Notamacropus eugenii: one gene and its partner. The protein of the gene in region 2 binds, or shares a complex with, the protein of the main gene of each other region. Links are inferred from orthologs where the notes say so. Each region holds a gene or a part of one and is shown on either strand. Other genes may lie near its edges.

Region 1 (8,054 bases), on a different chromosome or scaffold from region 2:
ACTCAATGTTAATTTTATCATGTCCAAGGTTTAGCTTTCAAGTGACCCTGTTGTCACAACTATGATCTGTTGCATTAAAATAGTCTTAAATTAGACCAGTCACAAGGAAGGCTAAGGCATAAAATCATCACCACTATGACTACAATTTGATGTACATGCCATACCTAAAGGTTAACAGAGGAGGGAACAAACACATTTATTTAACTGACCTACTGTTAGGCACTCTGGTGCTGTTTTGCAAATATCTCCAGGGGGAAGGGGGCCAGAAGGGAATATGTGTGTGCGCTATTATTATCCCATTTTTACAATTTAAGAAACTGAAGCTGAGATATGTTTAGAAATTTTAGTCTCTCACACACACACATGTGTATATATGTGTATACATATGTACACACATATAAATATACATACATATATATATATATACATATATATGTATATATATATATATATATATATATATATATATATATATATATATATATATATATATATATATATACACACATATATATATAGGAAATCAGGTCTTTAGAAAGATTTTAATTAAAGATGTTTCAACAGAAAACCCTTAACTACAGTCCAGTAACAATAAGCAACTTAGAAGCTTCTACCTTTATATCCATACACAGTGGACAGAACTCAGTTAATGAGCACTACTGTTTTCTATATGAGCAAGAGGCTTAGACAAAATTGCACAGGGCAGAAGGCAGAAAACGTAGTCTCCTTATTGATGACTCAGCCAGTTTGTTTCCTAGAAGAAATGCTGATATTTCCATTGCTGCTATTTGGTCCTGCCCAACCCTTTGTGACCCCATTTGGGGTTTTCTTGGCAGAGACACTGGATGGTTTGTCATTTCCTTTTCCAGCTCATCTTACAGATGAGGAAACTGAGGCAAACAGGGTGAGTGACTTGACCAGGATCACACAGCTTGTACATGTCTGAGGCAGGATTTGAATTCAGGAAGATGAGTATTCCTGAGCCCAGACCACTGCACCATCAAGCGGTACTATGATATTCCCTTGTGACCCCTTTGACCATTTAAGTTTTTTCAACCCAGAGAATTTTTCCATGATGTGTGGTATAAGAATAAAGTCAGAATTTAATTATATGTAATATTTTCACATAATGGGTTAAGTGATGTCTCATGGCATTTTCTCCTTCCCTATCTCTCAGGATCCAGTAGATCTGATAGACAGCTAGACAGATCTAGTTACCAGATAGCTCAGTCCTAACTCTCAGGAACTTTCTGAAGTTGCATTAGTAAAGGGAGCTTCCTTGTCTGGGAATTCCTATGTCACATAACAGCTCCAGTCTCTATTTCCTATTTTTAAAAATGTGCGCATAGGTAAACTGTATTTGAATTTAAAGTATAAAAGAAATCCAAATCTTTCTCATTAGTAGAACACCTCAGACGAACTTCCCTAGCAAAAGCAGAAAGGCTCAGTTGATAAATACTACATCTAACACCACAAGAGAAATAAGCTGGCATGGCACAAAAAAATGTCATAAATATGAAGCAAAGGCCATGATGAGAATGAAAAACATGCACATCTGCAAGCAGAATCATACTTTTCCTGTCTTTTCTGTGTGTCAATTTCATTTCCTTTCCAAGCACAGTATAAAAGCTTTACCTTAGAGTGAATCTAAAAGTGAAACGAATGTTGCGGTGTTTTTATTTTAAGGTGGCAACAAAGTGAGACTTTATGATTCAGAATTCAGGGTGACACTACTGATCCTTTACCTTGGTAACTTTTTGTAGAGGAATCTCTTCAAATCCTAGAAAAGGAGATATAAAGTCACGTTGTAACAAGATGTCACAAGGGGAAAATACAGTTTCAAACACTTAGGGAGTTCCTCAAATCTGAGTGAATGGTATTTCATAACTTCCCTCACCAGAGTCCCTAAATTTCCTAAAGCAAGTTTCAATTCAAACCCCATTCTTGAACTTCCCACAGGCCTGAACAATTCCTAGTTCAAACCTATTCTTATCCTTCCCACAAGCCTCAACAATTCCTGAACCCAGTTCACCAGCTTTGTCCTAAAGCTGCTATCCCTCATCATAAAACACCTCATAAAAGCAGAGTGCTGTGGGAAATACAAGGTCCTGACCTTCAAGTTTACAATCATATCCACCCAGAGGGAAAAACCAATAGTTTACATGTATACAAATCATTCATGATGGAGGGACCTTCCAGGTCAAATCTCAAGAAAGCTCTCCTATGTGTTGGAAGTTATTATCACTGCCATTTTTTTGATGAAACTGAAATATAAAGAAGTTAAGAAACTTGCTGACTCAGAGCCAGCCAAGGCCAGGCCCAAGGTGTGCTGGTGTTCAGTGCCCTCTGACTCTCCATGACCCTGTTTGGGTTTTCTTGGCAGGGATAGTGGGGTGGCTTCCCATTTCCTTCTCCAGCTCATGTTCCAGACGAGGAAACTGAGGCGGACAGGGTGAAGTGCCTTGTCCGGGGTCCCCCGGCCCACAAGCACCTGAGGCTGGACTGGAGCTCGGCTAGGTGAGTCTGCCTGGCTCCACGCCACCTCCCTGCCCCGGCCCCAAGTCCAGCACACCTTCGCATGGCCTCATCTGACCCTGCCCAGCTCCAAGGGACCCTACGGCGACCACTCCGGCTCCAATCCAACAGGACACACGCCTTCTTTTTCTGTCCCCGGCGCCTGTCGGACCGACCACCGGGCTACATAAGTCACTGCCCGGTGCTGTCGGGCGGCGGGGGCTTCCTGCGGTTAAAGAGGATCTGAGCTGCGCCAAGGCACGGCGGGGTGCGGGGGTGCGGGGGCGCCGGGAGCCCCGGGCCGGGGACAGGAACGGACCTTTGTAAAGCGCCTGCTGTACGCACCTGGGCACTTATGGAGCACCGACTATGGGCCCGGCTCAGGGGCACCATCCCAGGGGAAGGGGACGTGCCCCACGGCCCGCAGGGCGGAGGCCCCGGGCGTCCCTGCGGCGGGGAGGTCACCCCTCCCAGGCTCCGTCCCCCGCCTCCCTCCCCCGCGCGGCCCTCCCCCAGCTGGGGGGGGGTGGTCTCACTCACATCCGCCATGATGAGCCCCTTCCTCCCGCCGGGACGCTCCCCGCACCTGAAAGAGAAACACCCAGTGAAGCGGGGCGGGCCCGGGATCGCCTCCCCGCCCCCATCCCAGAGCGGCCGCCCCTCCCCGCCGTCAGGCCGCGAGGCCTACCTGGCTCAGGCTGCCGGGGCCGCCGCAGGTAGCTCCGACCGCCTCAGCCGCTTCCTCTGGAACCCGCGGTCACATGATTATCGCTCTCTCAGGAAGCTCGGTCGGAGCCCTGGCCCCGTGACACACTGCTTCCGGGGAAAGGGGTAAGGACACCGGAAGCGGCTTCCTTGGCCCCGCTGCCCGCGGGGACCTGCCACGAAAAAAGGCCTGCCCCCTTCTTCTTCCCCTCCTCCACCCGCGGAGTCCTGCGCATGCGCCAGACCCGCCCCTTGCGCTCCTCAGCCCGCCCCGGAGTTCTGCGCATGCGCCCCCTTCGTCCTTTCTCCCTACTCTTCCCACCTCTCAGCAGAATGCGGCGCATGCGCCTGTCTCTTTCCTACTCATCCAGGGAGGGACATTGAAGGAGTTTGCTAAAATGTTGCAGTCCCTCTGGCTGGATGCCAAGGGGCGCGTCAGGAAAACCACGCCTTAGATGTCCAATTGGAAGCATCCTCGACCTTCACTTTTTTTTTTCCATCATGTACCATCTGGGAAAGCCTTGGACCCCTGTCAGAGTCATGTTTTTAATGCATAAAATATTCATGAGATGACTAGGGAAAGCTTTCCCTCTTTCATTTCTTATCCTGCATGGAGGCTGATGTATACATATATGTATAATGTGTGTATGTATATATATATGCAGGTGTGTATATATGCATGTGTGCACATATGTGCATGTGTATATACATATACACATGTGTTTATAAGTATGTGTATATATGTATGTGTGTATATACGTGTGTTTATATGTATGTGTGTATAGGTATTGTGTAAGTATATGTATGTATATACATGTGTGTTTATGTGCATGCATATATTGTGCAAATATGTGTGCATATAGTGTATATGCATACATGTGTTTATATGTGTGTATATATGTACTGTGCATATATGTGTGCTCGCACACATACATGTTTATATGCACGCATATGTGTATATAGTGTGTATACATACATGTGTTTGTGCATGTGTGTGCAAATCTATATGTATATATGCATATATGTGTGTATATATGTATTGTGCAAATATATGTATGTGTGTATGTATATGCATACATGTGTTTGTATGCATGCGTATATGTATGTGTGCAAATATGTATGTGTATGTGCATGTGCGTTTATATGTATGGTATATATGCATTATGTAAATGTATGTGTGTATATACATGCTTATATGCATGCACATGTGTCTAGTGTGTACATATGTGTTCGTGTGTGCATGCATGTATATGTATCTGTGCACGTGTGTATACACATGCATGTGTTTATGTGTATATATTCATTGTGCAAATGTATGCGTGCACACATGTTTATATGTGTGCATGTATGCAAGTATGTGCACACTGTGTATACATACCTGTGTTTGTGTGTGCGTGTATGTGCACAAATGTGTGGTGTGCATACATGCATGTATTTATGTGTATATATGTGTGCAAGTATATGTGCAAATATGCATATATGTGTGTATATACATATATATTTGAGTGGTATCTCCATTTGATTGTGTTTCTTGAGGATAGGGACGGTCTTTTGCCCCTTTTTGTATCCCCAGTGCTTCGCAGTATTCCTGGCACATGACAGGTAATTAATAAATGTTCATGGAATTAAATCATATAGGTTGCTCTGTATTTGTTTGCATACTGTCTCCTCCATTAGATTATAAACTCCTTGAGGGCAGATATTGTCTTCTGCTTCTTTTTGTGTCTCCAGTGCTTGGCACATAATTTTGTGCTTGATAAATGTTTGTTGAATTAAATGTTGAAAGTGAGTTTTCGGGAACATTTTTTTTTAATTCAGGTACTTCAGATTAAGAAGCCTAGACTAGAGCTAAAAGGAACTGTAGGGCCATGGAGCCCAGCCCTCTTCTTGTATAAATGCCAAAAGTGAGGCCCAGAGAGGTTCAGTGACTTGTCCAAGGTCACATGATCAAGCAGTCAGCTGATAAGGTGAATCTATTTTGGTACTTTTAAGTAGATGCTTGGGCTTCACATATTTAAAAGAAAAATAAAGGAAACTGCCTGACTTCAAGGGCCTTATGTTCTGTGAGGGAGACAAAAGGTAGAGATAAAAATAGACTTAAAATATATTTTGAAAGTATGTAATAAGAGCTTGGATGGATTCCTATTGTAGCCACAGCTGGTCCTCTTTCCTGCCCCACCTTGGAGGTGTTTTACACACTGGGAGGGGAAAGAAGGGAAGGTTGTCATTAATGCTTTTCTGGAGGTCAGACTGCCTGTTGGTGGCTTTTTTCATTTCCTGATTTAGTGTCTTCAGGAGAGTTGTCTCTGATACCCTTCTTACTCACCTATTATGTGCTTTTACTTTTCAATTATTAAAGCAGTTTGAATTGGATTTTATGCTTCACAAAGGCTTGCTGTGTTTTGCTTTGCTTGTTTTCAAAGGAAAAGACCTTGAACCTGTGGAACCCAAGATACTTCTTCAAGAAGAGGGTATCAGTAATAGCCTTTCTGTAGGAGGGATTAGTGGCAGAGTAAGTACATTTCTTTCTGCTATACTGTAGAGAATAATTCAGGTTTTGAGTTTCTGGATCTTTTAGACTCCTAATTAATTTCCGTTTCCATTCTCCCCCAGCTCCACACCATCTATCATCCGATGCCTAGGTCATTTTTCTGCTCAAACATGTCCATAATAACACCAACTGTACAGTTTGATCCCAATCTTTACTTTCTTGCCTTATGTCAAGGGAGGTACAGAAGGTCATACACAGTCTTAGTAGGAACCAGAACTTGTGGACATGCTGAGTTTGGGATATTGGTGGGACAAGTAGGTAAACATTCCCTCTAGGTAGCTGAAAATCTTGTTCAGGAGCTGTGCAGAAATGATAAACCATAGGCTTAGAGACAGAAGAGACCTTCCTTACAGACCATATAGTCCAACCCTCACCTTATCGCTAGAAACTGAGAACTAAGGAAGTTACAGTGCTCTCTCTAACCACTGAGTTGAGTTGACATAATAGGTATCCACCATGGTCCCTTCCTTTCTGGCCTCTCTTGGAAGGCCCCTTCCCTCCTTGAATCTCTCAGACAGTTTTTGACTTTGCCTGTACACTGTGACTATTGATTACCTCTTCATCCTTTAACACCCAAGTCAAGGACCACTCTCTACAAAAAGTCTTATTAATACCTATTGCTAATTATTGCCCTTTGATTTCAAACAGTGCTTTGCTACACAAAAGGTCATACAAGCATTAAGTGACAGCACTGAGATTCTAAGCCTGCTTCTCAGACTTAAAATACATCACTTTTCCCAAGGTACCACGGTCGGAAATGCCTACTGTCACCTAGGTAAGGAATAGCCAGTACAATTTCTATCTCTGACTCCAAATTCAATGCTTTCTCCGTACCACCACATTCTGGTGGTGATTCTCCACCAATCTTCTTAAAATCCTAAGGTGACATATTAGGACATCCTCCATGATTCCTTCCCTTAGTAGGCCTCTCTCCTTCCTTGATTCTCTCGGGTCACATCTTTGACTTTCCCAGTGCACTGTCATTTTCTAACTTGCAAATGTTTAATCTCCATTTTCGACTGTAAGTTCGATGAAGATCAGGAACATTCATTTCTCATCTTTGTTTTTATCTTGCAGGATCAAAAGATTGATGGATTCAGAATTGGAAGGAATCTTACAGATCATCTGAATCAATCTCATTTTGTAGATGAGGAAACTGAGGTCCAGACGGGTTGTGACTTGTCAGAGGTCATGTAAGAAGTGGCAAAACCAGGACTGTGACTCCAAACCAAGTGCTCTTACCACTGCAATAATACTGTTTCTTTGCTTTGACCTATTATGCAACTGATTTGTGGATTGCATTCAGATTTTCTTTATGGCTTAAGTTTTGAAGTTTTAACAGCTTCTCTCTTACTTGACAAGTATTATCCCACATACCTGAAATGTCCTCTACCACTCCTGTTTTCTTCTCAATAAATAGTAAGTTTGGGGGGCAGAGCCAAGATGGTGGAGTAGAAAGACACACATATGCTAGCTCTTACCACACAGCCCATAAAATACCTGTAAAGAAGAACTCTCAACAAATTCTAGAGCAGCAGAAGCCACAGAACAATGGAGTGGAGGAGATTTCTATCCCAGAGTGACCTGAAAGATCAATGGGAAAGGTCTGTCGCACACAGGATGCAGAGCAGAGCCCAGCCCAGCCTTGGCCACGTGGGCACCAAGAGGAGCAGATCCAAGCAGGCTTCAGGGACAGAATCTTCAGTGGCAGCACAGATCCCTCAACACACAGGCTCCAAAGGTCAGTGAGTGCATCTTTTCTGCTGGCCAAGAAGGGAGCAGGGTGTCCCCATAACTCGGGCCTCCTCAGGAGGCAGCAGTAGAGGCAGCAGCGGACAAGGCTCCCAAAGCAGGCAGTAGCCTGAACCCATTGTTGAAGGTCTCATCATAAACCCCCTGAGGGAACTGAGCCCTGTATGGTGGGCCTGCCCCCACCTGAGCAGGTCATCTTAATCTCACACAGCTGATCTCAATCTTTAGGCACCCCCCCCTCCATCCCCCACCCCCCCCACCCCCCCACCCCCACCCCTCCCCCCCACCCCCCCCCCCACCCCCGGCCTAAAGTCCCTCAGGGTTTGGAGCAGTTCATCTGAATCTCAGCCCCCAGTGCTGGCTTGGCAGAACTGGAGGTGAGGTGGTTGTGGAGAGGAAACTCAGAAGTCAAGTAACTGGCTGGGAAAATGCCCAAAAAAGGGAAAAAAAATAAGACCACAGAAGGTTACTTTCTTGGTGAACAGATGTCTCCTCCCATCCTTTCAGATGAGGAAGAACAAGGCATACTATC
Region 2 (7,567 bases):
ATCTGAGGAGCAGATGATACTTGGTATACTAAAGTAACAGGTGGTGATGAGGTTGAAGATGTAAGAAGAGTAAATGATATAGATTTGAGCCAATATATCCCAAAGGATATGGATGAGACTGGTATTACTGTGGCCAGTCTTCCAGTACATATACTTCAGCAGAGAAGGATGATAATAAATTGAGTGAAATTTTAGGAAATGGGGCAAAATGGAAAACAAAGTGATTTGGAAGAAAATAATGAAGAACAGGACAATGGAGTTATTGGTGCTATTTCTATTGATGAAAACCTTTTTAATGGAGAGGATTTGGATGAACAGGAAGAGGAATTAAACACACTTGATTTAAAGGAATGACAACAAGCAAGTCAGATAAAAAAACTGTCGGCTCAACATAAATTGAAATTGACTACATTATTTGTTTTCTCCTTTCTAGAATTCTTAAATAGGACCTTTTTGGTTTCTCACACTGATTTTGGGAGGGTACCCTTTCCTCAAAAAAAGAAAAAAAAAGGAGTATTCATTTCTATCACCTCTATTCTGACCCTGACTACACCACATAGTAAGTTTAGAGCAGGTCATATAATACAATGAAATATGAAGGTCATTACAGAAAAGATTTTGTAAATAATTGAAACAGGAAGTATAACTGCTTTTTCCCAATTTTTGAGTTTCATTGGACGTGTTATTACCCAGTACAACAAACATTTTGAAAATATCACTCATTTAAGCTTCATCTTTTAATGAGTGATTTGATTTACTTTGTATTTATCTTTAAAAAGACTTCTTAAAATAAAAGCACTGTACTTCATAAATAGACTACTTATGCAGATTAAGTATTGTGTTTCTTTGAATACTTAATTAGATGGACATTAAAGATGCAGTTTCTTTAAACTAACAGCATCATCTGGAATGCCTTCTTTCCTGTTTTAAATTTTCCGTCTGCCTTTTTTATTTTGTTTGCTAACAAAGTTGTAAATAAAGATCATCAAGTGTTAAAACAAATAAACTACTGGAGTGATTAGCCATTTTCTTCTCCAGTGCTCCAATGCTCTGGCATTGATGCTGTATCTTTGACAAGGTATGAACTCTTTTTGTCCATGTTGACCCTATTTACACTGTATTAATGATTATTGATTGATGATTCACAGCTAGTTTTTATGCCCAACATACCCCTTGGGTTTGTCTCTTAAAAGACACTTGGAAAAGATGGGGACAACTATGGCAGAATGCAGCATATATTTTACTGTGTTGAGATGTTTTTGCTTAACTGTTCAATTCTAGGGTGGGGGATATATATCTTGCAATGACTTTGATTTAAAAACAAAAGGTATCCATGAAACTTTTTTTAAAAAAAGAATACCTCCCCCTTTAAAAAAAAAAGAATAAAAGGGTGCTACACAGAGACTCCAGAGACTAGAAACTGAGGTCACACAGACCAGTGAGGCAAAGAAGTACAGTAGAATCTTGGTTTACAAATTTAATTCATTTCCAGATTCTGTTCATCATGTGATTTGTTTGTATTGCAAAGTGAATTTTCCCATAGGAAATAATGTACAGTCATGTCCCGGCCTAATTGCTGTGGGCTGCCCGAGTCTTCTTACCTTAGTCCAGGTATTTGGTGGCTAGCTGGATAAACGTATCGAGAGAAGAGACTTTCCAGAGTCAAACAAGGATTAGGCTTTATTCAGGATCTTGGTTACATGTCCATATGCAGGCGAGTTCTTCCCCAGGAGAAAGGAACCCCCCTCTTCCTCAAGGAGCAAGGATCACACAGCGAGAGGACGGGGGTGGAAGAAGGGAGGGACCCCTGGGAGGGACCCCCCCTCAGGCTTTCCCCGTCCCCACTTAAGCTCTCCCAGCTGCATACTCCACACATGGATACCGTGCATGCTCTCAGCCCCTAGCTAATCAACAAAAAGGTGTGCTCAGACCATGGACCAATTTCAAGGGTGCGATGCTCTCCCCAGCAAGTTTCCACTGAGAAGAGGTGGAGAAACAAGAAAGCTCGAGTCTCACTCCTCAATTCCCAGCTGTTCCCTGGGGAGCCTCATGAGAGCTCGCAATCAAGAAGGCCTCATTTTTACCTGCCCAAAACCATTCACGTGAGAACTGAGCTTACACCCCAACACAGTCAGATGATCAGTACCACAGCCCCAAAAATAGTCATATAAAAATAACTATTTTTAATTTTAAGTAATTTTTTTTTGTCCCTAATGCTCCTGAACTACAACAGCAATGATTAGTACACAATATAAACTGAAAAGAAAACAAATTAGCCTGCACTTTATCTTGGAGAAGAGTTGTGGCTGTCGAGAGGGCCACGAGAGGGAGGAAGGATTATTGCTTGGAAGGAGAGACACTGAGGATTTCAACGTCCAAAGAGTTCTCTCTTATGCTACTTTCACTAAAAAGTAAGACTAACACTACTGCCTTCACTTATTTTTCATTTTTTAGAATCACTTTCATGTTTTGACTCACTGATTTTTTTTTACATTCACTTCTGACTAGGAATATATCTAGACAATTGTTTTTGACATCTTTTAAGTAATTTATTTATTTTCAGTTTTCAACAGTCACTTCCATAAGTTTTAAGTTTTCTTCCCCTCCCTCTCTCCTCCCTTCCCAAGAGGGCATGCAATCTTATATAGGAAAAAACCCTAGTTGAGTGTCATCCCTTCTGGAGTCGTTCAAGTCCAAGTATGATGTTCATTCATACTATGAATTTCTGTTCATCCTGCAAGACAAATTTTGCAAAAAATTTTTCCTCGTCCACTGAAGCATAAGTAAACTAGGTTACTAGTAAACTGAGATTCTACTGTATACAGATTCCTTTCCTGGGAGGAAGATCTGCAAAATCCATGTAGCCTCTCCAAGAAACCATGTGAGGCCTCCAGGAAACATTATGTTCACGCCTGATAAAGAGGACAAAGCAGTAGAATTCTTGGATCACACCTAGACCAGGGGTTCTTAATTTGGGATCCATAAATTTGTTTAAATTTTTTTTTTGGTAACTATACTTCATTATAATTTATTGTCTTTGTAATCCTATGTATTTCATTTTGTGCATTAAAAAATATTATTCTGAAGAGTCCACAGGCTTCACCAGATTGTCAGACACAAAATGACACACACGTAAAAAATCTGTGCAAAAAAGGTTAAGAATTGCTGGTCCAGATCAAGCAGAGGCATTCCTGAATAGGAGAATTCCTGGACCATGCCAATTTTCTGGATCAAGTAGAATTCCAGGATCACAGAGAAGTTCTTTGAACAAGCAGGAACCTCATCCCCGGATCAGCAAGGGATGGAGACACAGTGAAGGAGACACCTAGATCACCTTCTTCACTGGTAATGTGAGTTATGTGGACTGTGCAGGTCTTGTAGAAATATAGTAGCTTCCCCAACCTGCTAAATGAAGAAGCCCTAGGGAAGACTTGCAACTGTGACTGAACCCCCCTTTTGCTACTGATACGGAGTCAAAATATCAACTAAATACTAGTTCCCTAGGCATTCCCCCTCCCTTCCCTAGAAGGATCAGTACTTACACCCCAAGTCTGAGCTCCCTGCTTCCTTGTTTTTCTCCCTCAACTTGTAAAAGATTTTATTTTTTAAATTTATTTTTCGTTACATTTTAAGTTTCAAATTGTCTCCCTCCCCCCCCCCCCCACCTTGCACTAGAAGGCCACCATTTGACAAAGAAAAAATCTCTATCTCTATGTCTTTACATATACACACACATATGTAAAATTGTACTGTGTATACTTCTATTTATCAGTTCTTTCTATGGAGGTGGATAGCCTCTACCTCCATGGGTCCTTTGTAGTTGATTTGAAGATTTGTAATACTCAGAATGGATTAGTCTACTCATTCACAGTTATTCTTCAAACAATATTGCTGCTATTGTATACAGAGCTCTCCTGGTTCTGCTCATTTCACTTTTCATTATTTCATGCAAGTCTTTCCATGTTTTTCTAAAATGAACCTGCCATCACTTCTTACAGCACAGTAGTATTCCACAAGCTCCCTGCTTCTTGCCCCCAATGTCTGTTCCTATTTGACAGTGATGACAAACCTATAAAAACCCAGCCTGCTTCACCTGTATGGGCCACTTGACTCCCCCAGGACCCAAGGGCCTGTCCTGTGTTCATCTTCTCTCATGATCCCTTTGTTTTGTATTTCCCCTCATTTACTAAAATTTACTCTTTTTTTTTTTCACTTTCTTTCTATCCTCTCCTGTCTTGTGCTAAATTTTGTATGGTGCCACTGCACCTCCCAGCCTCTCCAGGTCTCTTCCCTAGAAGCTTCAGCTATCATACAGAATAGTCACACTTCAATCTTAAGTCTTTGACTTAAGGAATGTAGAACACGAGAGACTCGCCGGCATGAAGACTGTGACTAGGGGTCCCGAAGAGACTAGACTGCCTCTTGGGTTTTTCGCCTGGCAACTATGTAGCAGATAAAAGAGACTGTAGCGGTGTCTGTGCTGCTAGTGCTCCAGACCAAAGAAATCGCACATTAATAAGAGTTGTGAGGGACGGAGCACTCAGTCACTACAGGCTGTCTATGGTCGGTGGTAAATAGAGGTGGCTGGGTGGCGCCCGGGGCAGCGCTGTCCTGCCCTGGAAAAGTCACTTAACCTCTGCATAAAACCACCTACTTTCCAGGGCAAATTAAGTTAATATATAAAAGTCCTCTGCAAGCCTTAATCCGTTCCTATAAGGGGGCTAGGGCTTTGTACAGTAAAGAGTAATCACCCTAAAGCCCTAAGCAGCCTCGAACCCCGATCTCTGGCTCCTCAGAGAACCCCGCCCGCTTTCCTCCCCTTCCCCAAGCCCAGCCAATCCTGCACAATATTGCGGGGGAGGAGGTGAGGGGGAGAAGGAGGAACGAAAAGAACGAGCTTGCGCGGCCAATCGCCGGCCTGGGGAGAGGGGGCGTGGAAGTAACGCGGATAGGTTGAGTTTTGAGTGGCGTGTCGATTGCCCAATCAACGAGTGGTGTGAATGGGGGCCCAAGTCCCTACGGAAAGGAATGGTGGGGAGTAGGGAGGCCACGTCCCGGCACGTGATATAGGTGACAACCCGGAAGCGACCCCACTTTTTGCCAGCTTTCTCCGCACCTACGGCTTGAGATGGTGAGAAAGCGATGGCGCATGCGCATTGGTTTCCCCTTCCTTTTCTTCTCTCTTTCTCCCCTTCTCCCCCTCCCCCCAGTGCAGCGCCCCATGCCCCCCCAACCGCCCTTCAAAGAGGTGGCCCCGGGGTGTCGGGCTTGGGGGAAGCGGAGGCGGCGGAGGATGCAGGGGCCTGGGAGTGGAGGGTGGTCGGGTCTGGTACAGCTTCGGAGGGGAAGAAAAGGGGCCGGGGAGGGGTCCCCAGGAATGGGGGAGGACGGCGTGGGGAGGTGGTGTCTCCCCTGGGAGCGATGGGAAGTGGGCTGTGATTTTAAAGGGAGGAGGAGGCCGAGGCGGCCAAGGGCCCGTAGGGATTCCAGGCTGTCCAGGGTTTCCTAGAACAGAAGCTCTTTGAGGACAGGACTTGAGACTTTGTCTTTTCAGTTCCTGGCACATAATCACCGCCTAATGAATAAATACTCGTTGGTTTGGAGACTGGGGAAGGGAGAGGGGGAAAGAAATCCCTTTATATTTCATGTGGATAGTTCTGTCCCTCCTCCTTCTCACCCTCTCCTGACTGCCTCTCCCTCCCCTCCAAGAAAGCTTCTTGAGGATGCAATATGTTTCCGTTTTGTCTTTGCTAGTAATGTGTCTAGCAGTCAATTTATCAACAAACATTAAGTAATTAAGGGCCTGCTTTTCCCCAGCTGCTGGGGATAGAAAAAGGAAACAGACCCTGCGCTCAAGGGACAGACTTTCTTTTGGGGAGGATAAAGTGACACATACATAGTAAATTAAATGTAGAATATAAGGAATTTCTAAAAGGGAAGGCCCTAGCCACTGGGGCAAACAGCATAGGTTTCTTGTAGGAGGTAGCGCTGGAATCGAGTTGTGAACAAAGCTGGTGTTCTATTAGGAGAGAGTTGTCAGAGGAGGCAGTGTTGTGCAGTGTGATGAATGCTGGACCTGGAGTCAAGACCTCCATTCAGTTACCCACATCTCCCAGGTTTCTTTCCATACCTTGGCTCAGTCTTTCTGGGCTTCATTTTCATAATTTGTAAAATGAGGGGGTTGCAAAATAAAGTGTCCAGCTCTAAATAGATGACCCTATGACCCCATGACTGCATTCTAAATAAAAGCCCTCAGACTTAGTTGAAAAGGTAAATGATGTGCAGTAATCTCAGAAAAGTAGGCTGGAGCCAGATTGTACAACTTTAAAGAACTAAGGGAGGAGTTTGCATTTTACTTCAGAGGGAAAAGGAAGCTGTTGGAGCTTCTGAGCAGAAGAGGGATGAGGTCAGATCTGTGCCATAGGACCATCAATTTGGCAACTTTATAGAAGATACATTGGAGAGGAGAGCCTTGAAGCAAGGAGATTAGAAAACTTAACTCATATAAGTGAATTAAATAAACTTTTGTTGTGGTTGAATTAGCACATCAAGGAGAGCGAAAGATTTGAGGTTGTGAGTTGAAAAGAAGGAACAGGAATCTGAGCATTTAGAACATGAAGGAAGGAAATAAGGCACTTGGGCACTGAGTAGAAAGAAAGTGTTGGGTATCACAGCATGGTGAAAAGCCAGCTGAACTGAAAATCAGGAGAGACTTCAAATTCCATCTCTGTCACTGTGAGCGGACCCTTAACTTTTCTTGATTCTGTTTTCTTATGTTTAAAATGGACATAGTAATTAACCTGTGGTAATTACTCTCTACAGGGTTGTTGTGAGGATCAAAGGTGCTTGCAGAACCCTACATAAATGTCAGCAATTATTGTTTGTCCTAGTCTAAAGTCTTGGCAAGATGGGGAGATGTGTAAGGAAAATAAGAGGTGTAGCATCAGCAGCAGGAGGAATAGAGGTTTGCAAGTAAACAGGAAAGATCTCAGTCTAGCTCTCTTTCCTCTGATTTTTCCCATCTCATAATTTACTGTGCTTCTTCTAGACATCTGCATTGACTCAGGGGCTGGAGCGTATCCCTGACCAGCTGGGCTACTTGGTACTGAGTGAAGGAGCCGTGCTGGCGGTAAGTCTTGGGGTGAAAAGTAGAAAGAAGATGACCTGATCCTTGATAGCTCCTTCGTGATTTATGACCTTTCCATTTATCTCTTCTTTCCTACAGCTTCTCCTAATTTGAAATATGTGCTGTAGTTTTATCCATAAAGCATAAATCCGTATCCTTAAGCTCCCATGGATTTAACTATTGTTTCTGTGCAGATGACTCCCAAATCTATTCATCTGTCTTGTATGCGTCTCCCATCACTAACTTCCTGTTAGAAATTCCCCCCTGCATAGTCTGTAGGAATCTCAAGCTCAGCAAGTCCAAAAAAAACTCATTATCTTTTGCCCTAAAATCTACAACTCTTCCTACTTCTCTGTCTCTGCCAAGGGAACTATTATTCTTCCATTTATCCCAGGTTCAGGACTTAGGAGACATCAGTGGATCTTTACTCACTCTCACCCA

Evidence for each region.
Region 1: LAMTOR4 (region 2) and LAMTOR3 share a complex: the UniProt entries of both Homo sapiens proteins name them as parts of the ragulator complex. The link is inferred for Notamacropus eugenii from reciprocal best matches to the Homo sapiens genes LAMTOR4 and LAMTOR3.

What each region holds. Positions count from the first base shown.
Region 1 is NC_092878.1:137,825,854-137,833,907, forward strand, and holds the start of LAMTOR3 (ragulator complex protein LAMTOR3), read right to left. Parts: upstream 3,002-8,054; 5' UTR 2,908-3,001; coding exon 2,860-2,907; intron 1,781-2,859; coding exon 1,746-1,780; intron 1-1,745. UniProt on the Homo sapiens protein: As part of the Ragulator complex it is involved in amino acid sensing and activation of mTORC1, a signaling complex promoting cell growth in response to growth factors, energy levels, and amino acids.
Region 2 is NC_092873.1:80,612,512-80,620,078, reverse strand, and holds the start of LAMTOR4 (ragulator complex protein LAMTOR4), read left to right. Parts: upstream 1-4,560; 5' UTR 4,561-5,128; coding exon 5,129-5,131; intron 5,132-7,048; coding exon 7,049-7,129; intron 7,130-7,567. UniProt on the Homo sapiens protein: As part of the Ragulator complex it is involved in amino acid sensing and activation of mTORC1, a signaling complex promoting cell growth in response to growth factors, energy levels, and amino acids.